Linked DNA regions of Rattus norvegicus. The protein of the gene in region 4 binds, or shares a complex with, the protein of the main gene of each other region. Links are inferred from orthologs where the notes say so. Each region holds a gene or a part of one and is shown on either strand. Other genes may lie near its edges. The genes, in order: Thoc1, Akap17a, Ttf2, Ddx39b, Thoc3, Thoc7 and Ppp1r8.

The links.
Region 1: Ddx39b (region 4) and Thoc1 share a complex: the UniProt entries of both Homo sapiens proteins name them as parts of the transcription/export (TREX) complex. The link is inferred for Rattus norvegicus from reciprocal best matches to the Homo sapiens genes DDX39B and THOC1.
Region 2: Ddx39b (region 4) and Akap17a share a complex: the UniProt entries of both Homo sapiens proteins name them as parts of the spliceosome. The link is inferred for Rattus norvegicus from reciprocal best matches to the Homo sapiens genes DDX39B and AKAP17A.
Region 3: Ddx39b (region 4) and Ttf2 share a complex: the UniProt entries of both Homo sapiens proteins name them as parts of the spliceosome. The link is inferred for Rattus norvegicus from reciprocal best matches to the Homo sapiens genes DDX39B and TTF2.
Region 5: Ddx39b (region 4) and Thoc3 share a complex: the UniProt entries of both Homo sapiens proteins name them as parts of the transcription/export (TREX) complex. The link is inferred for Rattus norvegicus from reciprocal best matches to the Homo sapiens genes DDX39B and THOC3.
Region 6: Ddx39b (region 4) and Thoc7 share a complex: the UniProt entries of both Homo sapiens proteins name them as parts of the transcription/export (TREX) complex. The link is inferred for Rattus norvegicus from reciprocal best matches to the Homo sapiens genes DDX39B and THOC7.
Region 7: Ddx39b (region 4) and Ppp1r8 share a complex: the UniProt entries of both Homo sapiens proteins name them as parts of the spliceosome. The link is inferred for Rattus norvegicus from reciprocal best matches to the Homo sapiens genes DDX39B and PPP1R8.

Annotation. Positions count from the first base shown.
Region 1 is NC_086036.1:1,273,660-1,277,159, reverse strand, and holds part of Thoc1 (THO complex subunit 1), read right to left. Parts: intron 1,480-3,500; coding exon 1,371-1,479; intron 1-1,370. UniProt on the Homo sapiens protein: Component of the THO subcomplex of the TREX complex which is thought to couple mRNA transcription, processing and nuclear export, and which specifically associates with spliced mRNA and not with unspliced pre-mRNA.
Region 2 is NC_086030.1:21,425,448-21,429,445, forward strand, and holds the start of Akap17a (A-kinase anchor protein 17A), read right to left. Parts: upstream 2,801-3,998; 5' UTR 2,721-2,800; exon of another isoform or gene 2,630-2,720; intron 2,366-2,629; 5' UTR 2,290-2,365; coding exon 1,489-2,289; intron 1,160-1,488; coding exon 1,011-1,159; intron 354-1,010; coding exon 101-353; intron 1-100. Other genes in the region: Asmtl (N-acetylserotonin O-methyltransferase-like protein), read left to right, coding at 3,825-3,917. UniProt on the Homo sapiens protein: Splice factor regulating alternative splice site selection for certain mRNA precursors. Mediates regulation of pre-mRNA splicing in a PKA-dependent manner.
Region 3 is NC_086020.1:191,083,507-191,087,712, reverse strand, and holds the start of Ttf2 (transcription termination factor 2), read left to right. Parts: upstream 1-1,406; 5' UTR 1,407-1,422; coding exon 1,423-1,450; intron 1,451-1,534; coding exon 1,535-1,637; intron 1,638-3,618; coding exon 3,619-3,705; intron 3,706-4,206. UniProt on the Homo sapiens protein: DsDNA-dependent ATPase which acts as a transcription termination factor by coupling ATP hydrolysis with removal of RNA polymerase II from the DNA template. May contribute to mitotic transcription repression. May also be involved in pre-mRNA splicing.
Region 4 is NC_086038.1:3,586,852-3,590,877, forward strand, and holds the start of Ddx39b (spliceosome RNA helicase Ddx39b), read right to left. Parts: upstream 2,801-4,026; 5' UTR 2,734-2,800; exon of another isoform or gene 1,774-2,733; intron 1,417-1,773; 5' UTR 1,290-1,416; coding exon 1,079-1,289; intron 419-1,078; coding exon 291-418; intron 79-290; coding exon 1-78. UniProt on the Homo sapiens protein: Involved in nuclear export of spliced and unspliced mRNA. Component of the TREX complex which is thought to couple mRNA transcription, processing and nuclear export, and specifically associates with spliced mRNA and not with unspliced pre-mRNA.
Region 5 is NC_086035.1:10,154,627-10,157,972, forward strand, and holds the end of Thoc3 (THO complex subunit 3), read left to right. Parts: intron 1-1,660; coding exon 1,661-1,824; 3' UTR 1,825-2,846; downstream 2,847-3,346. UniProt on the Homo sapiens protein: Component of the THO subcomplex of the TREX complex which is thought to couple mRNA transcription, processing and nuclear export, and which specifically associates with spliced mRNA and not with unspliced pre-mRNA.
Region 6 is NC_086033.1:13,699,960-13,703,459, reverse strand, and holds part of Thoc7 (THO complex subunit 7 homolog), read right to left. Parts: exon of another isoform or gene 3,223-3,500; coding exon of another isoform or gene 3,219-3,222; intron 2,063-3,218; coding exon of another isoform or gene 1,959-2,062; intron 1,402-1,958; coding exon 1,284-1,401; intron 433-1,283; coding exon 305-432; intron 47-304; coding exon 1-46. UniProt on the Homo sapiens protein: Component of the THO subcomplex of the TREX complex which is thought to couple mRNA transcription, processing and nuclear export, and which specifically associates with spliced mRNA and not with unspliced pre-mRNA.
Region 7 is NC_086023.1:150,329,927-150,334,214, forward strand, and holds the start of Ppp1r8 (nuclear inhibitor of protein phosphatase 1), read right to left. Parts: upstream 2,801-4,288; 5' UTR 2,788-2,800; coding exon 2,732-2,787; intron 445-2,731; coding exon 384-444; intron 1-383. UniProt on the Homo sapiens protein: Inhibitor subunit of the major nuclear protein phosphatase-1 (PP-1). It has RNA-binding activity but does not cleave RNA and may target PP-1 to RNA-associated substrates. May also be involved in pre-mRNA splicing.

The DNA.
Region 1 (3,500 bases), on a different chromosome or scaffold from region 4:
GCATGCAAGCAAATCTAATTAAACTTAGCTGGGTCAGATGCAGAGAGAAGACATGAAAGAAAGAAGAGAACTTGCAGGGAAGGAAGGTTTGGGAGTGGTGGTAATGGAAAGGAACAGGGTAAAAATGCCTAAAATTCATGTGTTAAAACTGTTAAAGAACTTTAAAAAACTTAGCAATAAAATCGATTGTTTAACCAGCTATGGAAACCTCAAAGCAGTTTTATGTGCAAAGACTAACAAATCAATAAGATGGTAATTCAACTGAGAAGAAACTCCCTTATCTCACTATTTTAACCTCAATTTGGAAGGTGCCATTCCTCTAAGATGCATATAAATTAACACAGAACACTTATGTTGCTTTAAAAACTATCTATGTTTTTTATTTGAATCACAATCTTCCATGTCTACAAGACATATATGGGGATTCTTCTAAGACAGGGTTGGCTAATGTTTTCTAAAGGTGAATACAGCAAGTATTTTGGGCTTTGTGGCATGAATGTTCTCAGTTCCAAATACTCAACTTGCCACAACATTGTAGGAAAACCACAGATAAATGAACCTTCATGGCTGTAGTCCAACAAACCTCTTTATAAAGTAGACTGACTTGGTGTGGGGCTATAGTTTTATGAACTCTGTTTTAATAGGACAACTAGAGTAAAACAACAATTGAGCAGGGCAACTTCTTTCAAGCTCGCTCCCTTCTGTGGGCTTTGCTCCCTGTCTCTCAATAAATTTTGGTGTGTGTTCTTCAAAAACACTTCAAATAGAGAAGACATCCTGAAAAATAAAATCATCACTTTATATTGACAGCAATTATTATAAAAAAATAAACCCTTGGAGGTTTTAATTACTAACGTTTAAACCTAAAGGCACTTAAAAACTATACCACAAAAATCAGTGGTTAAGAATCAATTCACCAGGGGCTGGGGATTTAGCTCAGTGGTAGAGCGCTTACCTAGGAAGCGCAAGGCCCTGGGTTCGGTTCCCCAGCTCCGAAAAAAAGAACCAAAAAAAAAAAAAAAAAAAGAATCAATTCACGGGCTGGAGAGATGGCTCAGTGGTTAAGAGCACTGAATGCTCTTCCAGAGGTCCTGAGTTCAAATCTCAGCAACCACATGGTGGCTCACAACAATCTATAATGAGATCAGATGCCCTCTTTTGTATCTGAAAACAGCTAAAGAGTGCTTATATATAAATAAATCCTTAAGAAAGAAAAAAGAAAAAAAGAATCAATTCACAATTTAGTTTCTGTATATTATAATAGGTATCAAACTATCAGAGGGAGTTTTATAGTGAAAAATATTTGAACAAGATAAAGTCTACCTCTGCCAGTATCTGTGAAGTATCAGCTTCAGAGGTCTGTGACTCACCTTGAGAAAAGTTTTCCAAGAAATCTTCTCATAGCATTGTACTGGGTTCCTGAAGTAATCCTGAAGTGACCAGAATTTTCTGTACAGGTTGTAATCAATTGGAATAGAACTATAAAATAAATAATGTATTAAATCACTTAAATTATTTGACAGTCATATAAGTCTTTTTCCCTGGGCCACAAAACTTTTTCAGAAGCTCATAAAAAGTTTCTATCCCCTAAAAAGTATATATTAAAAAAAATGATATAAACTTTTAGAAACAGTCTGAAGGGATTAGAAAACCTCAATTGACCCTCTAATATACTGGTAGAGCCCCTGAATTTTGACATGGCTCTTTAGAATGAAAGATTAATGACTTTTGATCTTTCTTGCTGCTAGGAGTGGCTATGTGAAATTAGTTGGAAGAAGTCATATGTGCAATATGTGGGCCATGTTTTAACATCTGTGTTCTTGCACTTTAGGGAAAAGGACAAACATGCTGAAAAACAAGGGAGAAATGAGTTCCTAGGCCACCCCATGAGTAAGTACTATCTTTCTCCAGTAACTTCATTATTGCATTACTAATTCAATTTCCAATTTGGCTACGATACTATATATCAGGGGACCAGGGGATTCTTCCTAAGAAAAATGAAAAGTTATTGCTAGCAGAGAGAATCATGCAACCATTCATATGTTCATCTTTGTCTCAGGAACTAGAAGATCTACATATAATTTAATGTTTGACACCAATAAGAATCTTTTGTTTATTTAAGGGCTGGAGAGATGGTTCAGCAGTTAACAGCCCTGAGTGTCTTGCAGAGGACTGGAGCTCAGCTAGACAGCTACATTAGGCACATATGGCAGCTCAAAACTGCATGAAACTTCAGTTGTAAGTAGACACCTCTCTAGCCTCCTAAGGCACCTGCACTTGTGCACATATCTACACACAGATGCACATACATATAAAAAACAAACCCTTTTTTTAAAAAGGATCTTTTGGGGCTGGGGATTTAGCTCAGTGGTAGAGCGCTTACCTAGGAAGCGCAAGGCCCTGGGTTCGGTCCCCAGCTCCGAAAAAAAGAACCAAAAAAAAAAAAAAAAAAAAGGATCTTTTGTTTTTAGCTATCTTTATTTGTGTGTGCATGTGTATGTGGGTTTCTGATATATGCTGTCTATGTGTGTGAGTGCAGGTACATGTGTGGACATTGGAAGACAACACATTGGGTGTAGGTCTTTGCTTTCTACCTTCTTCAAGGCAGAGACTCTGTTGTTTGCTGCAGTGTACAATAGGTTAGCTGATCTGTAAGCTTTCAGATATTCTTTTGTAGGAGCTCTGGGAGTACAGATGCATGCTATAGTGCCTGGTTCTACATGGGTTCTGAGGATTCAAACTTAGTTCCCCACAATTTCATCCCCTAAGTGTATTCCCTTACCCTCTGAAGAAGAATTTTATTGCAAGTTGCCAATCGTCATTTCCAACCTTCTTTAACTGGCTTGGTGGTGGGGTATCAGTTTCACATATTTTCTGTGGTACTGGGGGGGGAATTGAACTCAGCAAATACTTTGCCATTGAGATATACCCCCATTCTATAGTAAATTTTCTTTGGTTCTTTTTTTCGGAGCTGGGGACTGAACCCAGGGCCTTGCGCTTCCTAGGCAAGCGCTCTGCCACTGAGCCAAATCCCCAACTATAGTAAATTTTCAAGCAGTATCAATATACTGAGAAACTTTTATAGTTGAGGCATTAAAATACCTCCCACTTGATGGTTATAGTTCCCTTTGCTTGATATATGTTTTTATGGCTAAATGAGTTGGTCTTCTGATGTTGAGGGTTGAATCTAGGGTTTGTGTTTGCCAGGTAAGAACTTCACTGAGCTACCTCCAACTCTTTAATACCAATTTACTGTCGACTTGTACTATTCTTTAGAAACTTACAGATTTCCTATTTACCCACACAAGGTATATAACGCACATGCACGCATACTTGCACACTCTTGTGTGCACAATGTTATGGAACAGGATGTCCACAATGTGACAGGCAAGTACTCAAGTACTGAGCTTCATCCTTTGCTGCATTTGCTTTTTGTTATGTTCTGTTGTTTTTTGAGACAGGGTTTCTCTTTGCAACCCTGGGGCCTTGAACTCACAGAG
Region 2 (3,998 bases), on a different chromosome or scaffold from region 4:
CACTTGAGGCCCTGCCCACCCATGCCCATACCACCTCTGACTGAGGCAACACTGTAATTCTGCTCTCCTCTGACTCTGCCCACCCATAAGGCCTGCTTACTTCAGCGCGGGCAAGCAGGGCAGCAATGAGCCGCACAGACTGCAGGTTGCGCTGGGCGAGCAGTAGCCGACGGGGCTCTGCACCTTCCTCTTCCTCACGCCCCAACACAGGCTGGGGCTCTGCCTCCTCCTCCTCCTCCTCCTCCTCTCGACGTCGGCCTCGTCTCTTCCGTGCTCGTTGCCGTGCCTCTCTGCGCCGAAGCTTCTCCTCCCGACGCCGTGCCCGTTGTTGCTGCTCTGCCTCCCGCTGCTTCCTGGGTGGTTGGGGGTGGGTGGGTGATGTCACTGGGCGTGACATCGTGTGATGCAATCGGGTTTGGCGTCACTAGATATGACGTCATTCAAGCAACGTCATCAAATGATTTCATCCCAGGCTGAAGGTGATGTGATAGGGGGCGACATCATAGGGATTGACATCATCGAATGACTTTGCCCCAGACAGGAAATGAGTGTGGGATAAATGAGTGTGGGTTTGCAACTACTGAATGAGTGACAGGTGGGAGGGACCAGGAGTGTAACAAAGAGAAAGTGAGGGGTGGTGATGTCACTCTGTCATTCATATGGGTGACATTCTTATTAACACATTTAACATGAGATCATACCATGATATATGATATTGCATCCTAGTGACATCACCCCAATGATGTCATATGGTATGATGTCATGCAACACAAAGTCATTTGGGATGATGTCACCTGGTGATGTCATCCGAGTGATATCGGCCAGCAATACCATTCAGCATGACCTCATACAAGACCTGATGATGTCACACAGCATGATGTCATCAGAGTAAGCTCATCAGGGCGGTGTCATTATCAACAATGTCATGTGAGTGATATAATCCAAATGATTTCCCAGTGACATCATCCCATTGATCCACCCACCAGTCACCCTGCCTCAGACTGGCTCACCGCTGGCCTGCCCGCCGCCGCGCCTCATCCTCACGCTCCTTCCGCTTCTGCTCTTCACGCCGCTGCTCAAGTTCCTGTAGTTTCTGCCGCTCCAGCTGCCGGCGTCTGATCGAAGCCTCGCTCAGGTGCTGTGTGGCATCTGATGTCACCTGCAGGTGAAGGAGCACAGGGGAGTGAAGAGGACGTGTGGTCACATCACAATGCCGCCCTGTGATGTCATGTGGGTGACCTTTGATCTCCACACTACCCCGCCCCCTTTGACCCCTGTGACATCATTGAAACCATCATGATGTCATGGACCCCACCCCTCATCTCAGGCACTGCACTTTTCCCGAGGAACCACCCACCTGTCCACATGCAAGCGCCAAGGAGTTCCATGTGTCATTTACATCTGGTGCCCCGCCCCTACTCTGTCAGTCATAGCTTAGTCTCCGCCCACAAGATGTCAATCCACTCCAGGTCCCGCCAAACCCCTCACCTTGATGCCGCAGGCCACAGCTTTGCCGTCCGTGCCCCTAAACATGAGCTTAGCACCACGCAGGGCAGCCATGGCACGGGCGTAGGCATCACGCTCTCGGTACTGAACGTAGGCCTCGAAGCGGAGCCGCCCGCCCCCGCCCCCGCCATGGCTGCCGTCCTCACCAAGGTAAGGGTCCAGCATGGGAATGTCCACATGGCGGATCTCACCAAACGCCCCGAAAGCCTGGCGCAGGAGAGCCTCGCTGGGCCTCTCTGCTGAGGCAATGCCACCAGGGGAAGAAATGCCTCCAGCCTCATCCCCGCCACTGCCCCCACGGGGCGCAAACCAGCGGCAGGGCAGGCCCTGAAGGTGGATGGTGTCATGAGGGTGGGCGGGGTCATCCGTGGGTGGGGGCGTGGCCTCAGCGGCGCTTACACGCAGGCCATGGGGGAGGCCGCTGAGCATCATAGTCTTGCCGTCCAGGCCAGCGAGTGCGGGACGCACAAGCGCCCGGTTCTCGACCTCGCCCTCAAAGCGCACGACCTCAGGGCCGCCCCGGGCCAGGCGCAGTGATGACAGCGGCGCTCGTGCCCCCTGTGCCATCGCCCGCAGTCCCTCCATCACCTCCCAGTTTGACACTGCACGACTTGGCGCACGCGGGGGTGGGGACGTCGAGGAAGGCGAAGGGGGCGGAGCTGGGGGCGGAGGGGGCAGCGACACCGAGATTGTCACCCGCGCGATTGGCTTCAGGTACAGGCCCAGCGCCGGGCACAGGGGCACCGCCTCCGAGGGGTCGTGCACGATGGTGGCTGAGGACATGGCCAGCAAGTCTGGGGGAGCGGGGATGGTGCAGTGATATCAGTATGTAGTGATGCTCATGGTGACGTCACAACATCTGAAACACGCACACAAGGTCATGACATCAGAGAACCTTAGGATGAGAACACAGCTAAGGCTATGCTCACCTGACTCCATTATGGCCAAGGAACCAAACCCCGCCCCTCCTCTCAAATAAAGCCAAGCCTCTGCCCCAGGCTCCGCCCCAGTCCTACATTTCTCCTGCTAGGGCCCCATCCTATTTCCTAGCCGGAAAACTCCGCGGAAGCAGCAGAAACAGGTCAGACCCAGTCCACGCGAGCCCGGAGTGTTCTCCGCTCACCTCCTCTAAGCTCCACCCCTGTGCTCCGCAGCGGCCTCGTCACTCTGCCCCGTTACCCTTCGTAGCCATTCCCGGGGCTCCCGTGACGCACCTTAGCTTCCGGTGCCCAGACTCTAGTCCTCGCCACCGTCTAAGGCCTTTTGGTAAAGTCCCCGCAGGCGTTTCGTTCACGGCCGCTGACAACTGATTTTCGTAGTTTAAATGGCCACTTCCGGTCCCGGTCACCTCTGATCCGGGATACCGGAAACAGGGATCACCAGCAGAATCAGCGGCACTCAGCGCGCACGCGCAGGTTTTTGCTCTCGCTCCCAGACACAGGAGGTTGCGGCTCCTTGGTCAACAGGGCGATAATCCTGTGACCAAGGCGCTCACCGGTGACGTCAAATACGATCGACTCCCTCCCGTTTCCTCCGTGGAGACAACGTCTGTCAGCCGCTTTCAACCGCCCTCCTGTGGCGGGAAAGCGGAGGAGCACAAAGGGAACTTCCGGCACCGCTCACCTCTGACCCCCGCCTCAAGAAACAGCAACAGCAGCAGGGCGCGCATGCGTAGACGCTCTTCCGCCCTCCCAGTTCCCTTTTGCGCTTAGGCTCCGTGACAGTGGCCTGCGGGGTCAGCACTGGTGACCCCTTCGTCGCCTTCGCTCGGATGTCACAACAAAGCAACTAGGCTCAGCAAAGAGCAGACTCTGTCCGCTATGCGTGAGGTCATAAACTATGCGACTCGTCGTCAGCCAGCGCGGCCCGCGTAGCGCGGCGGGCAATCCCGTGATTCCTAGCGTATCCATGTGTGTGACGTCCGCCCTGGCGCGACCCCCGTGGCAGTGACAGTGCATCCGGGTCGTCCTTTCCCGGTTTTGACGGAGGCGACAGGGGGCGGGACTTCCGGAATTGATTCCCAGGGCTCTGCGTGGTTCTAGGGCAAGTTCCGGCTCAGATTTTCTTTAAACGGACTTGAAAAGGGGCGGGACTTCCGCCTGTCATACTGATTTTTACTAGTATCTAATACCGCATACGCCCTCTTGCCTGCGCTTTTCCTAAATTTCGCAAGCCAAGAGGGAGGGGCGGGGCCTGGGCGAATTCCGGAAATTGCGCAAAAACGCCACCATTCACGTAACACGAAGGGTGGTGCCTGGGCTGCGGAGTCCTCCAGTGATATCGGTCAGGTCTGGTAACCCCGCGCGACTCTGGCCCCCATGGCACTGAAGCCGCTCGCCCCGCTCCTGCGCGGTTACCACGTGGTCCTGGCGAGCGCTTCGCCAAGGCGGAGGGAGATCCTCGACCTGGCGGTGCGCTTTCCGTTTGCCGGGTCACTGACAGGGAGGGAACCGGAAGTCGGTGGGCGGAACCGGGAGCCCCCAAAAATGAGA
Region 3 (4,206 bases), on a different chromosome or scaffold from region 4:
ATGCACTTGGAAATTCATGTCTTTCTTTAGCTCTCTAGGGTTTGCTGGTGACTCCATTCATCTTGACATTTAAATACTATTTTATATTTATTTAAGCATTCATTAGGTATAGGCTAGTTCAGCTTCCTCCATTCAGTAAGCCCCTTGTGGTTAAAACAGTTTCTTTAAATGTATGCATTAGGTGAACTTTATATTTCTCAAACACATATTCCTCTTGGGGCACCAAAAAAAGCTATTTAGTAAGAACTGCTTAATTCATAAATGATAACTCGGGTCTATCTCCCCTCCTCTGGCCTCCTAAAACATTTACAGTCTCCATATAGCCCAGGCTTCTTAGTTAGACATTGCAATTTTTCTGTCCTCCTAGCAGGTATGTGTGCCACTCTGAGACACACACAGTCTTCAGCTGCTGAAATATGAAGTTATGGCTACAGCAACCAAGCTCCGATAGTCATTCCTTCCCTCTGCTCACTAAAAGAACTGATTACAGGTTCTACAGTTCCATTTTATTTTAAATTATGTGTATGTGTCTTTGTGTGTACTAGTTAATGTGGTGAGTCCATGGAGGCGTGGAGCTGGATTACAGGTCGTTCTAAGAGGCCAAAAGTATTTGCTAGGAACCAAACTCAGTAACAGCCAGCAAGCGCTCTTAAAATGCTGAGCCTTATCTCTAGCCCCTTGGTTACACTTCAAATGCAGTATCTTTTAACATCACTCTCAGTTTTTTTTTTTTTTAACTACAAATACAAAATAAGTTCAAAAGGGTTGACAATGCAAAATACACGAAGTAAAATTAGCTTGTGCCTGAGGTCCGGTATTGCCCTCAGGTTCTTCTCTCAGACTCAGGGCGTCCACACCAGGCGGTCCTTAGAACCTCACTTGAAGGCAGGCCGTGAGACTCAAAGAGAGCGGAGCGTGGAACTGAGATGTGTGCAGATGTTCAATCTTTGGTGATTCTGTGGACGCCCTACACTCATTTAAAGGTTGTCCGGGGGTCCTGAGGGAGTCTTTGTGCCGACTTACAGACTATGCAAATGATTCCCACAGTTTTAGGGGATGCTCCTGCCTCTCGGCCGCCTCATATTTAAGTGTTTCCACCCACAGTGGCTGCTTCCCGAGCAAACCAGCCGCTCTGCCTCCCTCTGAGCCTCAGCGGTTCCTCTGGAGTCGCCCAGTTCAGCTTCGTCTAGCCCTCTCCAAGTCTTGCTTTCTCCCCGACCAGGGAACCTCCGGGTGTCCTCCCAAGACTTCGGCCACGCCTCCTCCTTCCAAGTTTGATTTCAGTGCGCGCCAAGCCTGCGGGAGGCTGTAATTGGTTGAAGGTGAGAGGATTTCCCATTTGATTGGTGAAGTGTTATGATGGGCGGAACGGGGCGGGGTCAAAGACGGAAACCCGGCGGGCCAGAGCTTCCTGGCTGCGTTATGGAGGTGATTAAGTGTCCGGAGCACGGTAAGGTTCCAGTCTCAGGATTTCCCTCCTGGGGACTGTGGAACTGGCTTGCAGGGGCCATTGCTGACCTTCTTGTTTCCTCAGGGGCCGTCTGCTTCTTAAAGACCGGCGTCCGCGATGGCCCGAACAAGGGAAAGAGCTTCTACGTATGCCGGACGAACACATGCGGCTTCGTGCAGGCCACCGAGTGAGTCTCCAACCCGGCCGGGTTCCACAGAGTGACCCAGCCTGGTCACTTCAGCTGCCTTGGGACGCGGATTTACCCACACTCGGATCCTTCTAGAGTCCGCTTAAAGTTTCTAGGCACCTGTCTGGCCTTACTTAGTCACTCCCCTTTACCCCTGCATCCTTTCTGCTCCTTCTAAAAAGTGTAAACAAACAGTGGACATGGGAATTAATTTGCTAGTTTTGCACCAATTTTAGATCGCCATTTTAATTTTAATATTTGAGGTTAAAAACAGTAATTAGACACCAGCCTTTCTCCTTCATCTAGTGGTGTGACGCTAATAAACTCCAGAGATTGAAGGTCTTAGGGCAGCGTTTCTCAACCTGTGGATCGGGACCTCCAGGGTCTAAGGACCCATTCACAGGGACCGCCTTTTAGATATCCTGCAAACCAGATACTCACATTACGATTCAAAACGGTAGCAAAATTACGGTTGTAAAGTAGCAATGGAAATAATTTTATGGTTGGGGTCACCACAACATAAGGAACTGTTTTAAAGGGTTGCAGTATTAGGAAGGTTGAGAACCACTGTTGTAGGGAGTTAGTGCTGAAAGAAACATCAGAGGTTGGTGCAGAACTCAGGTTCTGCAGATGTGAAGGCTGAGACCTAGAAATGTCAAGCATCTTGTCCAAAGTGAGGAAAGTGCTCTCAAGTGTGACCATTCTCTGAGTGAAATTAAACTGTGGTTCATTTAACACTTCTTCCTGCTCTCTATTCAGCTGAACTTTGTAGAGCACAGTTATTTTTTTTTTCAGTATATAGGTATATAATAGATATTAGTACTGGAATAAGTTGTATTTTGCATCAGAATTTACAGTTCCGTTCCTAAATATATTGAGTATTGTTGAATGTTGTAAGACCCATGCGCGCGCATGTTCGTAGGAATTAATTCATAGGAACGTTCCTACGCAACGTTCGCATCAATGTCGGTCTTAGGTTTGATTCAACATTAAAAGAAATATTCTTGAGGACTGGAGAGACAGGTCAGCCTTCAAGAGCACGGGCTGCTCTTCCAGAGGCCCTGGCTTTGATTTACAGCACCCACTTAGGGGCTGTGAAATGTTGTAACTTTAGTTCTAGGGGATCGCGCGCCCTCTTCTGGCCTCTGAAGGCCTAGCATGTACATGGGGTACAGACACACATGCAACAAACGATCCCTAAACATAAAATAGAAATAAATAAATAAATAAATAAATAAATAAATAAATAAATCTTTAAAAAGAGAGTGAACATTCTTAAAGAGTGTGCCACTTCCGTGGGTACACTGCAATACAGACTAGTACAGTACTTTCACTGGAGGCTTGCAGTGTGTCTGATGAGCGGACTGCAGGCTGCAGACAATTCTACAGGTCACAGGAGAGTGCTTTAGACCTTCACTCCAACCTGTCTGCTCTCAGTATTGTACATATTTTAGGAGGGACATTTAAAATTTTATGCCAGGCAAGAAGCACATGAGTAAGTTATTATTAGAGGTAGACATGGGAGTAACAGCAGATGACAGCTAGTAGGGTATTAATGGATGAGAGATCCTGAGAAGTCACAGCAGGCCTACCCTGTGACCAGCCTGAGACTATAAGTCATCCCTGGAAGTGTTGCAGTGTGGCTGTCATATGACCGTCATGAAGAAAAGAATAGTTATTGTCACGCTTCGGTTCAGAAAGTGGTAAAAGAAAAACTATGGATCCTTTCCTCAGGAAGCCACACCAATAGCCATAGATGGAATTTATACACCCAGGACACCTTGAGCTGTAGTTGGGCTGAGTGTGGTGGCACACCCTTGTGATCCTAGAGGAAGGATTGCTGCAGGTTTGAGGCCACACTGGTCTAGGTGGTGGGTCCCAGGCCAGCCAGTGAGAATTCAAGCTTGGATTTGACTTCAGACTGCTGGCCTCTATTCCTTGTCTTCTAAAATTATTTTATTATTATTTCTTTCTCTTCTAGTATTCCTGTTTCTCATTGTTTATTGCATGAGGAGTTTGTGGTAGAGCTTCAGGGTTTGTTTCTACCACAGGGCAAGAAAGAATGGAGGTGAGTGTCCAGAAGAAACATCTAGATGCAACACACACACACACACACACACACACACACACACACACACTCTCCCCACCAACCCCCAATCCTGAAAGAGTTGCAGCTAGATTTGTTTTTTTAAATATAAATTAAAAAATTTTATAAAATTTTATTAAAATTTTATAAAAATAAAGAATTTTGTTCTTTAAAAGTCATTACTGAAAACCTTTTTTGTACATACTGAATATCATCTACCTTGTTAGCGATTCTGGACCTGTGGGTCTCGACCCTTCCACAGGGGTCACATATCAGATATTTACACTGTGATTCATAACAGTAACAACATTACAGTTATGAAGTAGCAGTGAAAATAATTTTATGGTTGAGGTTATCACATGAGGAACTGCATTAGAGAGTCACGGTGTTAAGGTTGACAAACCAGTGCCCTAAATGCTGTATGAGTTACCGGGAGAAACCAATGGTTAATTTCTGGATGACCAGCTCTGTTCCCCTCTAGCT
Region 4 (4,026 bases):
GTACTTTGAGAAGCGCTCATATTCCTTGCTGATCTGGAAAGCCAGCTCCCTGGTGTGACACATCACCAGCACTGACACCTTTGAGGGAGCAAATGGAGACAGACACAGTAAAGTCAGTCCCGCATCTGGCAACTTGTCGGCGACAGCAGTTTCTTTAAACCATTATGCCACTCTGCTACAGAACATTCCCCCTGAACTGCCGGAGGAGACCAGCTCTGAGAGCACACAGCCAGAAACAGCCTCCTGGTGGTTCAACCTCAACACCCTCTCCAACACTGCCCCCAACATACCTGCCCAGTAACTGGCTCCAGCTGCTGCAGTGTGGCCAGGACAAACACTGCTGTTTTTCCCATGCCTGACTTGGCCTGGCACAGGACATCCATCCCCAGAATGGCCTGGGGGATGCATTCATGCTGGACTAGAGGGGAAAGGAGAGAGATTTTTATTTTACACCATGCCAAGTCCCCTCCTTCCCAGCCAATGTGTCACATTTTACCTGACCCCATCCTTTCTCTGATCTCCTCAAGACACCCAAATCAAACCCTCCTACCTGTGCCCCGGCTCCCCAGTGCTACTAAGACCCCTCTTGAACCTACCAATGGTTCACCTTCAATGTTCTTGGCTATCTTTATTTTTCTTATAGCGTAACCATCAATGAATCTGAGTGACTGCCACAGATTATTTCTCCTACATAGGTTGCTGGGCTTTGGGATCATGTTATCCTGCCACCTTGAACAAAATGAAGGACTTGGTACCTAACCCAGAAGCCATAGAAGCTAACATCTTTAAACAGATCGTTACGGTTTCCAGGGACCACTGTCAGCCTGGGCCAAAAGAGGGGAACTAAAGGTCCAACCAGGCCCTGAGAGTCCAAATAGCCAAAAAGGTGTAAACCAAAGAAAAACAAAAAACAAAAAACCAGGCAAAAACAAAAGCCTCTTCGGCAGCTAACGTTTTGAGTGCATTCTCAGAGCTTGGCCTAACTAAGTTCAGATCTTATGAACCAAGACACGAACCACATCTGTCTTGCATCCCTGAAATGCTAAATAATGTCTCTATACCCAACAATAAAATGTACCCTCTGATGGATGCTCAAAGCCACAGTCAACAATGGCCCGGAGCAACTCTGGCTTAAGTAGGAAATCTCGAAAGCCGGAGCTGTGGATGGAGACATAGGAGCCCTTGACGTCTTTCTTGGCGGGAGCTTCGGTCCCATCTGCCCCAGCGGCCGTCTCCACCTCATCGTCTTCATAGTCCAAGAGCTCATTGTCCACATCGTTCTCTGCCATAATCCGGCCGGCGGGGGGAGAAGGGAGGTCTCTGAGTTAGGTGTCCCAGAGCAGGTGAGAGGAAGCAAGGGGAAAGAGAGGGGTTGGAGAACAGCAAGGGAAAAGACACCAGTTTCCGACAGAAGAGCTGGGAGAAGGGACGACAAAAAAAAAAAAAAAAAAGAAAAAGGAAAAACTAATCAGTCATGATCTGACTCCTCACTTCTCATCCATCCCTACACCCTTCCTATTTTCTCTAAACTGAAGCCTTTGTCCCGAAAGAAAAGTTAACGGAGACAGACAGACACACACACACAGAGACACACACACGAGACATAAAAACGGAACACCAGACGGGAGAGACAGAGAGTGGCCTCGACCGCCAACCAGATTTTGGATCACACTTCGACAAGGCGGGAGCGAGGATGAGCGTGACTAACGACTCACACGAGGGTGGAGAGACAAAGGACAAGAGAAGACGAGGGGCTGCACTTCCCCCTGTCACCTCGCGGTGTTGAGCCCCAACGTCAGCCATCAGTCAAGGGTGATAGATAAGGGTCAGCACCGCGCGCAGAGCGCTCACTTCCCAATTGCAAACATCATGTGGCTGCCGCTATTCACTTGCTCAGGAACACCCGAGGGCCCATCCCGGCGGCGCACACCCGTGATTCCCAGTGCCGGGAAGCAGAAGCAGGAAGGAAGGGGGTGGGGAGAGCCTATGGTAATTAAACGGTGGCTGCAAGGGTACGAATGGCTCCATTAAAAAAAGAAAATTCTTTTTTGAAAAGGCTGGGTGTCTGGTTCAATGAAGGTGCTCGCTTAGCAACGCGAGAGGCCGCAAGGATCGGCCCAGCGCCGCCACAATTAATTTTAATAGTCACATTAAGGAATTAAGGTCGCAGCTGAGGACGATGCAGCCTTTAGAGTGGTCTTAAAAGCGAACGCCTCGCAGTGCCCTCGGAAGTTTCCCGGAAAGCTTCCTGGAAACCTTCCCGACTACTGCGCCGACACCATTGGTCAAGCACGGAGATAGCCATTTACAGAGAGCTCCAAATAAGGGAGCGTAAGCAGGGGGTCAGAGGGTTGAATGGGCCCGGAGGCAAGATCCTTCCCATCCCTGGCGGACTAAGAAAAGGCCCGGAGGGGAGATGCGAGGGGCCCCGCCCTCCTCCTGGCGCCGCCTCCGGCCGCCGCGGCCTCGGGTGGGCAAAGGACCCACTGGAACATCCAGGAAACGAGGAACACAATGGCGGCCGAGGCCACCATTTTGGATCGTCCCCCGCCTGTCTCCCAGCTCCCCCACCAAGATTTGCTCTCAGAAAGGGATGAAAACAATGGAACTGAGCGTTCGCCTACGCGCCGGCGGCCACACCGCCGGCCGGGCACCGGGTATCAGGGGCCCGCGCGGCGGAATGAGCCGCGGGGCGGGCAGATGGCGGCGGATAGTACACAAGGCCGAGCTTACCTAAGCACTGCGAGCGTGTATGGCGGCAGCAACAGGGACGGAGGCGGGAAGCTGCCTTCACTTCCGGTTCCAGTCTCGCCCCGGCCTCCCGCCTTCCCGGCCGCCAGGGCGCATGCGCGGGGTGCCGGAAGGAGGCCTCGGGCGGCGCGCGCTCCACGGCTGGCTTTGCAGAATGCCCACTTGAAGTTAAGCTTCTGACGCCCCCTTCCGTCGCCGGCAGCAAGAGCGCGACAGGAAGCTCACATCTCTCCCCATCTGATTTCCCCATTTTGTTCTTCTACGCTTCTGCACACCCTCCGACGGTCGGCTTTACTTTTGTTCTGTTTTGTTTGCCACGCCAGGCTTCTCCCTGGGCGCCTCTCTGTGGGCATGCAGGACTCCGCGAGCAGAGTGAGAAGCGTTCTCACGGGGTCCTTAGCCTCGTAGTCAAGGTGACCTGAGAGCGGCTAAGTCTGGCCTCTACTGGGGGGGGGGGGGTCCGGTACGTGACCACGCCCATTACAGTTGTGCAGAGAATAGGCCGGATTTACCCAAAATTATATTGGGAGATGGAGGCTTACATTCTGTCCAGGTGCTAAATAAATGGTGGAGTTTGAGGGTTATGCACCTTTCCATAATTATTACTAACTAGAGCAGCAGAATGGTCTCAGTTCCATTATTCAGCCCGGAATTTGTCCCCCCTAAGTAGGTGGTATTCCCTTTGAGGTGCTACACACGTCAGAAGTGATGACCTGTTGCCTTTCTGCAGAAACATAAGCAGGTGCTTTCCCTATTGAGCATACTTGAAAGTAATACTAAGTAACACTAAGTAAGTATCATTGTTGCCAACCAGCCCGCTGTGTCCTGCTCAACGGATAAGCTCCCTGGGCTGGGGCTTGGTAGCTTTTGATTCCTCAGCCATTTGACAGCTGTAAGCAGCAGGCTGGCAGGTTTTGTATAAATCAGAAAGTGGGGATTCCTCCGTCCCTGGTAACTTAGTAAGAGCTGTAGCTCCAGACAGAGAGGCACCTTTGGCTTTGAAGAGTTTCCAGGAACTCTTCTAGTGACCTAGTTGGAAAGCTCTCAGCCGCTTTCTTCCAGTTACTGGACCTAATGTGGCAGCACCAAGGACGGAGGCATAGTAAGGTTTGTCCCAAGTGAGCCAGGCTTTACAGCCAGCAAAGGGCGTTTGCACCAATCTGGGCAAACAGGGAACTCATGCAAATGAAGACTTACGTTTGCACCAATCATAATATATCCCTTTGGCACCAGTCATAACACATCCTCCTGCTAGGGGACTATGGGAAGGACTGT
Region 5 (3,346 bases), on a different chromosome or scaffold from region 4:
TCAAACTTTCTGTCTATGCATTTTTTTTTATTGGAGTAAATAACATTAGGTATAATTCCTGAATATTTTTGGTAGTTAAGTCTGAAAGAAGGTAAGAGTGAATTTTGATTTTATTTCTGATACTGTATAGAATAGAACTCCATTTTAACAGTTTAACATTTTAACGCTGGTATCGGCCTCACACAGTCAGCACTGTATGTCATTTAGGGATTAGCTTTGCAGTCAGTTATCAGGGTTCTTATCCTAGTTAGTGTTGCTAGTGCTGTGAGAAATACCACGACCGAAGCGACCTGGGGAAGAGAGGCTCACACTTACTACACTTCATTGTCAGAGGAAGTCAGGACAGGAACTCAAACAGGGCGGGAGCCTGGAGTCAGGGGCTGAAGCAGAGGCCATGGAGGGGTGCTGCTTACTGGCTTGCTCTCTATGGCTTGCTCAGCCTGCTTTCTTACACCCAGGACTACCAGCCCAGGGATGGCACCACACACAGTGGGTTGTGCCCTCCCCATCAATCACCAATTATGAAAATGCCCTACAGGCTTGCCCACAGTGCACTCTTATGGAGGCATTTTCTTAGGTGAGGCTCCCTCCATGCCAGTGACTAGCCTGTTACACTGACACAGACTGCTGGCCACAGCACTCAGTTTGTAAAGCTGTGTGCTTACCTGGGAAACATCTCAGGGGTTTTTGTGGTTGCTTTGGTTTTCTTCAGTTGTGTAAATTTTTATCTTAACCAAATCCATAGCAAAAGATACAAATTAAACACCTAAAGAAAAGTGAGAGTCCTGTGGTAGTGACACCAGAAAGCACGGGTGTGTCCGTAGCCTAGCAGTAATTCAGACAAGCTGGAGATGGCTGTCCCCGACAGGATTACTGTAAACACTTCACATATATAACAGAAATGTGTACTTATGTGTGTACACGAGTATGTTCTAGTAGTGCAGGGTATAATTTGTAGACCGTATAGTTGACCTCTTAGATGTACACCAACCGTTCTCACACCCAGCATCTTTATAGTGGTGCCACACTGTAGGTCTTCTGTAAAAATTGTAAAGAGCGGTTTGCGGCTCTTTTGCCTGCATGTGTGTCTGTGCCGTACAGTGCCTCTTGCTCATAGAGGCTAGAAGAGGGAGCTGGGTCCCTAGGTGCTGGGTCCCATTGGGTTGGAGCTAAACAGATGGCTGTGAGCTGCCATGTATGTGCTGGGATTTGCATCTGGGTCCTTTAGAAGAACAGCCAGGGCTCTTAGCTGCTGATCCAACTCTCCGCTCCCACATTGTAAGCCTTAACTCAAAGGGAGAAAACGTGGAGCAGACCTGAAAGAAACCATGTCTAATTTCAACAACTTAGAAGGAAACGTCTGGGGAAAAGTTATTTGCAAGGCTTTGTGGTGTATGAGGTGTGTGGCTTTGGAGACAAACTGCCTTCATTTTCCTTAGGTGTCACTTTGTTAAGGCACCACAGCCTCTCACAGTCCTGCCACTGGCATGCAGTAAGAACAGGCCATCTGTAGGGTGCTCAGCAGACCATAGCTGGTAATTGTTTTTCCTGGGAGTATAGGTTAGAGGCCTAGACTCAAGTTAACTTTCCTGTCACCTGCTCATGTGTGACATCTCTATATGCCAAGTACTAATAACATTCTCTCTGTTGCTTTCTGTAGGAGACAAGCTGTGGGAGGTGCAGTGTGAGTCCCCGACTTTCACCGTGGCTTGGCACCCCAAGAGGCCTCTGCTGGCTTTTGCCTGCGACGACAAAGATGGCAAGTACGACAGCAGCCGGGAGGCTGGGACCGTGAAGCTCTTCGGGCTTCCCAATGACTCCTGAGAGGACATAGCTGGAAGGAAGAGGACGACGGGCGGACTATTCAGGCTTCCTAATGACTGGACCTGACGGGGAGAGGGGGCTGGGCGCAAGCCTTCCTTTTGTATAGTTCCGTGTGGTCTTTTGGGCTTTGGGCACCCTAAATGTTTGTAAATGGCATACATTACAAAAACCCTTTGGTCAGGCTGTGGTACCGGAGGATTGAACCAGCCTTGCACGTGGTGAGCAAGTGGCCCACTCAGCCAGCCCCGCCCCACTGCCTGAGGTTTTTTGTTTTTTGTTTTTTGTTTTTTTTTGGTGTATTTTGTGTTAAGCAGTTAGCTAATAAGGACTCTGCAAGTATGGGTCATAATCTGTTGTTGAGGGTTCTCTAAAGGAAGAGAACTGGTAGAATGTCTGTCTGTCTCTCTCTTGTCTCTGTGTGTCCATACATGGGATTTTATCAGAATGGCTGACAGGCTGTGGTCTGGGTTGTCATTCCAACGACGCTGCCGTCTCCTGACGGAAAGGCCAAGGATCAGTAGCCGCTGAGACTCATCTGATGCGGAGTCCTGGGGAATCCTAGAGAGCTGCAATCGTCCGTCAGTGTTGGAATCCTGAAGAAGCAGGCTCTGTGGTTACCAGGGAGGGACTCCCTGAGCAGCAGGGTGGATGGACCAGGCAGTGAGAGTGAGGGCAAACAGGCAGAAAGCGGAAGCCTTTTGTGTGACTTTTTATACACTGCCACCAGCATGTGTCCCAGGTTTCCGGTGGCTCTTCCTACCTCAGATGATCAAGATTTCTCTCAGGTGTGCCCTGCTGGTTGGGTTTCAGTGGTTTCCAGACGCTGCAGTCAAGTTGACAGCCAAGATTGCCCACCACATGCCCAGCGTGGCATGCCCTTTGGGAGTGCCCTGTGTTCTGGGTTTTAATATGGCAGTTTGTTGCTTAGGCAGTACCTACTTAGAGGGAGGGCAGCATAGGGATGGGATTTTTAAAAACAGCTTTGAGAACTGAGCATTCATTAAAGCCGGCTTTCGTTATGAGGTGTCTAAAGTTACTGTTTTTGTTCCTGGAAGATACTGCAGGTTTAAATTCTGTTTTGGTTTTAAATCTGAGTTTATGATCCCATCTAACCCTCTAACTAAGACCATGAACTGCAGTGCTGGGCTGCTGTGGTATTGCAAAGTCATCTGTGTACATAAGCGGGTGTACATCTGGCCTCCTCCTACCTGGTTTTATATAGAGCAAACCAAGGGAAAACAGAAACACAGTAAAACAGAAATAAATACAAAATCAGACAGATAAATGAATAGGAAGTCAAGGCTGAGGAAGTGGAGGAGGAGTGTGTGAGGAGTGAGGCCATCATGGATGATCTGACTAACACAGCAAACTGAAGATGGAGGGAGGTCAGTCTGTCTGACACAAGCGCTCAGTGTGTTCCACAGCCTGGGACTTGGTAATGTAGCCCAAGCTGGCCTGCACTCGCTGTCCTCCTGCCTTCGCTCGCTCGGCTTCCATTACAGGCCACCGTTGTGGTTGGCAT
Region 6 (3,500 bases), on a different chromosome or scaffold from region 4:
TTTTTACACTCAGCAATTTTTTCATGTGCTCCAGCAATACTGCATTCTATTAAAAAACGGTAGTTATAATAAGACGTATAATGTCTGCTTTTAAGTAGACATTCCACTGACAACACAACAGACGATGACATTCTAAAAATATCTACAACACAAAGTGCTGTCTTACTACATGACACTGTGGCTGTAGATGGTAGATTCTTTACCACTGTAATTACTGACAGTATCTTACTACAATCTACATACTGCTATCAGCTTTTCCTTTAAACTGCAAAAATACAATTCTAGAAAGAAGCACTATGTTTACCTATTTCTTTGTATATTTTTTCATAGTTTTCCATTTCTCTGAGGTTCATATCATACACCAGCAGCGTTTTGCCCATTGAGAACTCACACTGAGACAGCGTGCTCAGCATCCGCTGGTACTGGCTGTATCTAACGAGAGAGAGAAAGAGAAGAAAAAGAAATCGTAAACTAAACAAAGTTCTGACCGAATTATTTAACTGAAATAGCTTAGAATATCCACCCTTACCATTTTCTTTGCTAGACATGGTGTACGTGAATTTATAAGTTATTCTGGTTACAAAGGCAGAATGAGACTACTGTCCTCATCTTATCAAAATTATGTGTCTGCATCTTAAATCATCCCTAACAATAGAGTTTCATCAGAATTTTGTTCTCACAACTTTCATACTTAAGCAGAAAGTAAATCCAGCAAAATTTCATAAATTAGCATGTGATTATTATTTTACAGCAACTTATATATTTACTTATTAGCAAAGAAAAAACATTTAGAGATACTTAGCAAATACTGATTTGCTAAAAGTAATCAAATTATTACAGCTGAGTTTGATCTTTACTTCTTCCTTTACTAATGTCCTTTCTGCGTATTATACAAACATAAAGGAGACCTCCAAAGAGAAGGACCGAAAAAAAACCAAAAAATAAAAAAGCAAACAAACTTCTGATCAGTTAAGAAGTGGCTACTGGGGGCTGGAGAGATGGCTCAGTGGTTAAGAGCACTGACTGCTCTTCCAGAGGTCCTGAGTTCAAATCCCAGCAACCACATGGTGGCTCACAACCATCTGTAATGGGATCTGATGCCCTCTTCTGGTGTGTCTGAAGACAGCTACAGTGTACTTACATATAATAAATGAATAAATCTAAAAAAAAAAAAAGGAAAAGAAGTGGCTACCCTGGACAGATAAGATGAATAGAACTATTTAACATGGCCTTAGTAAAATTCCAGCAAGATGTTGGTATAGAAACACAGTGGAATGAAGTACCCTTCCTCTTGGGATCCAGAGTTACACCATTTAATGAAGCTTTTCACTAGGAGATTAATTCTCCGATCATCTCCAGCACCGTCTCCATCTATCAGAAGACGCTTCCGGATGACTTCGTCTGGAACAAAAAGGATGAACGGGAATTAACACAAACATTTGGTTCTGGACAAATCTCAAGACAACAGTATATAACTACTCACTTGTTCAATGAAAATTGCTGAACTATAAATACATTTAATGCCACCAGCTGAGGTGTCACTTAGAAGCAAGAAGGCCAAAATGGTAAGCTTTATGTGCATCTTAGCACAATTAAAAATCTTCTGTTTGTTTTTCCTCTTTAAAGAAAAGCGGTTGGCTATGGTACATCTGCCCCGTCCTAGGGGCTGAGGTCTTTGGTGAAACTCTACCCTTATAATCGGCATTCTATGGGTCGTTGAGAGGAAATTTTCAAGTACAACAGAAAGGCTAAGTCAGTAATTGGTAAGAGAACTACTTTTGAAAAAAAAAAAAAAAGCTGTTCAAACTAAAGGAAGCCAGGACTGTAGTAAGTGAGAGGCACTGACAAAGTTTCCTTGCATGTAGTATCATGTCAGAAAAAGAGTAAACAGGTCAGAGAGATGAAAAGATCCATGAAGTAACAATTTAGTTGTAGGCGCTAAAGCAACACTATCTCACCCTTCCTGAGGGACAGTGCAGGCTGGAGTTCACTGTGCAGCCTCTGCCTCCACACAACAGGATGACAGGTATGAGCCATTACCCTGACTTCAGTGTCTCCATTTCTGCCCAATGCAAAGAGAAAATAGAAATGCAGTGGGAGATGATGGCGAGAACAAACAAATGGTGTCCAAGCAGCCTGTGTGGCAGTCCTGAGCTAGTGCTCTTACCAGGACCAAATCATGCTGGGCCATAGTCATAAAAACAAATGGAAACGGGGAAGAAATCATCCTTCTACCACATCATAACTCAGTAATATAACTGTTGCCATGATGTTCAGACACTCTACTGACACACAGTTACACATGTAGAGACGTGGATACAGTTAATCATGCTTGAAATGGATACACCTTTGCCTGGCCCCCAGAAAAAGTATTTTGAGTTTTGAGATACTGAGGAGCTTATTCTGAATCTCTGTAGCAGAGGCTGGAATTACAGGTGTGCGCCTCCATGCAAACAGACGTAGAGAGAGGCTTTTAGCAGTGCTGTCTACAGTAGATATTTATACTGCAAAGCTGAACATTGAGGCTTCTTAAATTGTGATGCACTCAAATAATGTTAGGATAACAACGAAACTACCTCTTCAGATAAAGTAACTTCTGAGAAGCAGAGGATGTTGTCCAGTGTGTAAAACAAAATGCATATATATAATATATATATATATTATATATATACACACACACACATATATATATACATATATATATATATTCAGAAAATAAATCTGGAGGCATTTATGGGTAATGAACAATATTAATGATTGTTTCTGATAAACAGATTACAGATAGAGATGAAAATGGTTTTCTTAGATACCATTTTATCATTTTTGTTTGTTTTCTGGGCTTTCATTTTCTTTTAACTGAATTCACTATGTTTTGAGTACAAATGTAAAGGAGGATAATTCCTGGAGAGCCTGCGTGAATCAAGAGCAACGTCTCTGACAACAGCTCCAGCAGGCGTAATGGCAGAAGCACAAGTGCAGCGGAGTCAGACCAGTATAGGGCGCCCTTAGACAGACACCTTTAGAATAGGTTTCTTTGAAAACCTGTTCAAACTACAGATTCATCTGTTCGTTTAACGTTTAAATGTGTTTAAAAAAATACTAATGTTTTCGAGCTTTAATTACCAAACAACTTGAAGAGACCAAGGTAAATAAGACAGTCCTTAAAGAGATTAAAAAGCAGAATTTTTGAACATGAGTACATACACACATCCACTTACACATTCTCTGTCACACACACATTTTGGGACAAGGTCTTGGTATGTAATTTTGTCTTCAGGGCATAGTGTGCCCCGAATCTTGCTGGCTTCAAATTCATTTGTCTGCTTTAGTCTGTCAAGGAAAGGCACACCTTGGGGCGGGAAATAGCTCAGTGGTTAAGAATGCATTCTGCTCTTCCTGAGGACCCAAGTTCGGCTCTCAGCACCCAAGTCTGAGAGTTTACAGCCCATGTGGGATGTCAAACATAAATGCAGTAGGAAACAGCAAGGGACTAAATACCA
Region 7 (4,288 bases), on a different chromosome or scaffold from region 4:
CTGTCAAAAATATCTTCATTTGTGAGGGCAGAGGAGTAACCGTGGGAGAGTGTTGCCTGCTGGAGAATGAATCCAAAACAGTTTCCGAATGCCAGCCAGCCACTCTGTCACAGAGCTACACCATCAGTCCCTGGGAGCTTTTAGCAGGGGGACCCAAAAGAGGCATGGCAGCCCACGTCTTTCCTTACAGGACTGGGAGGCAGAGGCATTCAATCTTTGTTGAGTTCAAGGCCAGGCTGCCCTATATAGGGAGCTCCAGGATACCCAAGGCTAACTCTGCCTTAAAAAACAGAAACAGAGCAGAAAAGTAACAGCGATGAAAACAAAGCAAAGGGAGCAAAGGGAGACAGGGTGGGGAAGCCAGTCACAGCAGGCTGCAGTACCTCAATTAGCTTGTCTCCTTTCACTACATCCAGATGTAAGCCTGGTGGCGGTTTACCTGCCCTGAAAGAGAAGAGTGAAAACAGCGGTTTCAAGGAGGAGTCCAAGACTGTTTTTAATAATCAACACCGAGGCTCCCCTACCAGCCTAGAGTTAGTTCATATTTAAACAAAAATGTCATATTTCACTGTGTTAGAGTGAAATGTGTTTGACATTTTCTTCCTAAGTGATTCAGTTGTTCCAGAGATTTTTCTGTGGGTCTGTATTTAGAGCAGACCCCCCCCCAAAAAACTCCTGCATTTTAACACTAGCTATGCTCTTCAGAGACAATGCAACTCAATGTCCTGTCCCCTGAGGAGGTTTTTCCTTCTTGCTTGTTTTTGGAGACAGAGTCTCATGTCTCGGAAAACAAGCTAGGCTCTAACCTTAGTGGGTTTGGATCTGAGGATGACCTTGAACATCTAAACCTCTAACCTCCACCTTCCCTGTGCTAGACTACATTGTGGTGTATGCCACCAAGCTTGGTCTAACCTGGGGTTTTTTAAATAAATTTATTTTTTTTTTGTTCTTTTTTTCGGAGCTGGGGACCGAACCCAGGGCCTTGCGCTTCCTAGGCAAGCGCTCTACCACTGAGCTAAATCCCCAACCCCTTAACCTGGGGTTTTAATCTAAGATTTACTACTCCTAATATTAAAAAACAAAAACAAAAACAAAAAACCCAGTTATTTTGCTGGGTACAGAAGTACACATGAGAATTCCCATCAGAGAGATCATTTCAAGGCCATCCTACTTTGTATAGCAAGTTCTAGACCAGCTACAATTACATATGGAGATCTTGCCTCAAAATAAATAAATGTTAAAACAATCAAACAACAAAAACTATTTGTTTGGGGACTGATCAATATTATTCTCATCAGAAAATAAACAAAAACCATTACCCAAATGAACTCTTGGTACCAATCAGAGATAATGTAATTAGGGAACTTGAGTGAATCAAAGTCACGCCCACGAAATCAAGTTCCAAATGAATAAGAGGTGTATCCTGAACAGGTCTTTCTGAAAAATTCTAAGTCATCAAACTTTTCTCTATACTTCATCATCCAAGGGGTTGTGAGAGTGTCAAATTACCTGACACAATTCCTAGTATGCACCAGATTCTGAAGTAATGACAGGTGATCTCAAAGAGTCTCTTTATATTTGGCTGGCCCAAATTTGAAATAAGTGCAGCCAGGGACCAGTGTGGATAAAGAATGTGTAGGCTGAAGCACATGGTTATGTTAAAAGTATAAAGAAATCCAGTGAATAGCCAAACATTCACTTGCTTCCTGGGCTTGTTCTTTTGAACCTTCTGGGGCCCTTACATTTGCACAGAAGAAACGGTATCCTGTCTAACTGTATCTATCTAATTGGAGATTCAACGCAGTCATCTCACAGTTCTGCTCGGATCTTTTTTATAGCTAAAAGGACAGTGCATTGGACAAAAGCCCCCCCCCCTTTGAGAAACAGGTTAAAAATGAACATTAAAACCAAAATATATTTTCTAAATATCCTATTATGTGATTGACTCAGGCCTAGGAGCTGAGAATGATGCAAGGGTTTTTGCCCTTGAAGATCTCAATGTAACAGAAGCCTGAGAAGTAACATGTTAACAACCGGGAAAAGCCGCAACAGCAGAAAGCGCTTTCACTCGGATGCATCTTCCTGCAAAGCAATTCCTATGTATTCATCTTGCACCTTACTCAACGCCTAAACCATCCTACTACTATGAACGTCCCAGGGAATGAAAACGATATAAGCTAACAACTTCTGGTGTCTTTTGTACCGGGCTTCGTACTGGTCTGGTCAGAGAACAGGGGGAATAGTTCGGCGCCATCCATGCCCTCAAGGAGCTCCTAGTCCTCTTGGAGGATGCAGCAGCCACAGACGGATGCAGCATCAGGTTGGGCTGGGGTAGGGAAGCTAGCTCATGCGGGCTCTGGACGTTCAACACCCGGGGAAGCTAGGAAGCTCCCTGAGAGCATCAAGCACTCAATGATGAGTTAGGGCAAGTTAGGGGCCAAGGCCTGAAAGCACCCCGGTGAGCGGCTGACCTCCCAAGCGCTGTCTAAACTGAATGCCTTCGAGCCCCCAAACCTCGGGTTTCCTCAGAGCCTGGGCCCCAGCTCCAGGTTCCTCCACACAGCGTCGCCCGGCCCCTCACAGCGGACAGTTTTCCCTCAATCATTTCAGGATCTTTTTGAGCCGCTCGTTTCATCGCAAAAAAAAAGGAAAAAGAAAAAAATACAACCTCCTTTTCTGCCCTGGTTAACTCACACCAAGATGCTCTAGCCCCAGAAATCGTATTACTCACCAAGTCGGGCAGTCGAACAGCGGGAGGCTGGAGCCGGAGTTCACGGCTGCCGCCATCTTGCGTCTCCCCCTCCCATTTGGCGGGCCTGAAGCACGCCGGGAAACTGGGAGGTCGGGAGGGAAGAGGCGGCCTCCCAGCAGCCTGTGCGCAGCGCGTGCGTGCGCACGCGTAACGCCAGGACGCTCGCCTGGGAGCGCCTATGGTGGAGGGGATTAGGGGTTGATTTTGAAGTCTGCAGTGTTTGCTGGGGAGGGTTGGGAGGGGAGGTTCTCCTTGATCACGGGGTCAGAAGTGGTTTGTACCGAGGTATGGGCTTCTCGCTCCGTTCTCCTCCAGAAACTCTTGGGCTCTGTAATCTGCATTAACTCCCAGCACTCCAACCATTCACACTTCATCTAGCGATAAGCAAGTGATCACTAGAGATAAGACGTGACCGCTCATTCATTTTTCTAGCCCTCCTTCGGAAAGCACCCCCGAAAGCAGAATCCTTACTCATTTGTCCTTTCTAATCCAAGTCTAGATTGTTTAGCTTAATGTTAGTGTGTTGAGCATGCGCGAGCGAGGCCACTGATTCAATTCCCCAGAATCAGTAATTTTCTGAGGTTTGGGGGCTTCCATAGATTAGAAGTCTGTCAGAAATCAGGTAGTCTGTTTTTGAAAACTTTGACAAACTGCACCAAGGCACAAACTCAAACAGAAAAGGGCGTCCAATTTTATTTTATTTTTTTACAGACTTCACCAATTCTCAAATGTTTAATAAATGGCCCCTTAGGACTTCCTAGGTGGGTAACAGTGACTGTACTATACAAAGAGGCATTAGGGTTGTCATCTTCCTCTAAGCCATTAGCTTGCGGGTTGTAATCGCTTTGTCTATTGAGTGCTTACTGGGAAGTATATATTCTATATGGATCATTTCACTCGGTAATCCCACAACTCAAGACAAATTGATACCAGAAGAGAGGCTCAGAGTGAGAGTTATCCAGCCTCACCTTACAAGGAGTGGGATTCAAACCTGAGTCTGTATAAAGCTAAAGGCCAGGCTCCACTAGTCTCATGCATTTCTGACAACATACCATTACTTAGTATGCACTTGATGGTCCTTTTTGCACTTTTACAGAAAATCTGGGATGATGACTTCACAGTTTTGTTTTGTTTTTTAAGGAGGGTGTGGCAGCACAGGTCTGAAATCCCGTCTGCCTCTGCTTCCTGAGCGCTAGGATTAAAGGTATGCAACACCACACCCTGCTAGACAGCAAAATAAATAATAAACAAACTCCAGGTTTCAGGAAGCAATGGCATTGGTTTGAATGTGCTTGGCCCAGGGAGTCACACTATTTGGAGGTTTGGACTTTTTGGAATAAGTGTATCACTGTGGGTGTGGGCTTAAGACCCTCATCCCAGCTGCCTGGAAGTCAGTCTTCCACTAAAGCAGCCTTCAGGTGAAGATGGAGAACTGTGCTTGCACCATACCTGCGTGGATGCTGCCATACTCCTGCCTTGATGATACCGGACCTGTAAGCCAGCCCCAATTAAATGTTTTCTTTTAGGAGTTGCCTT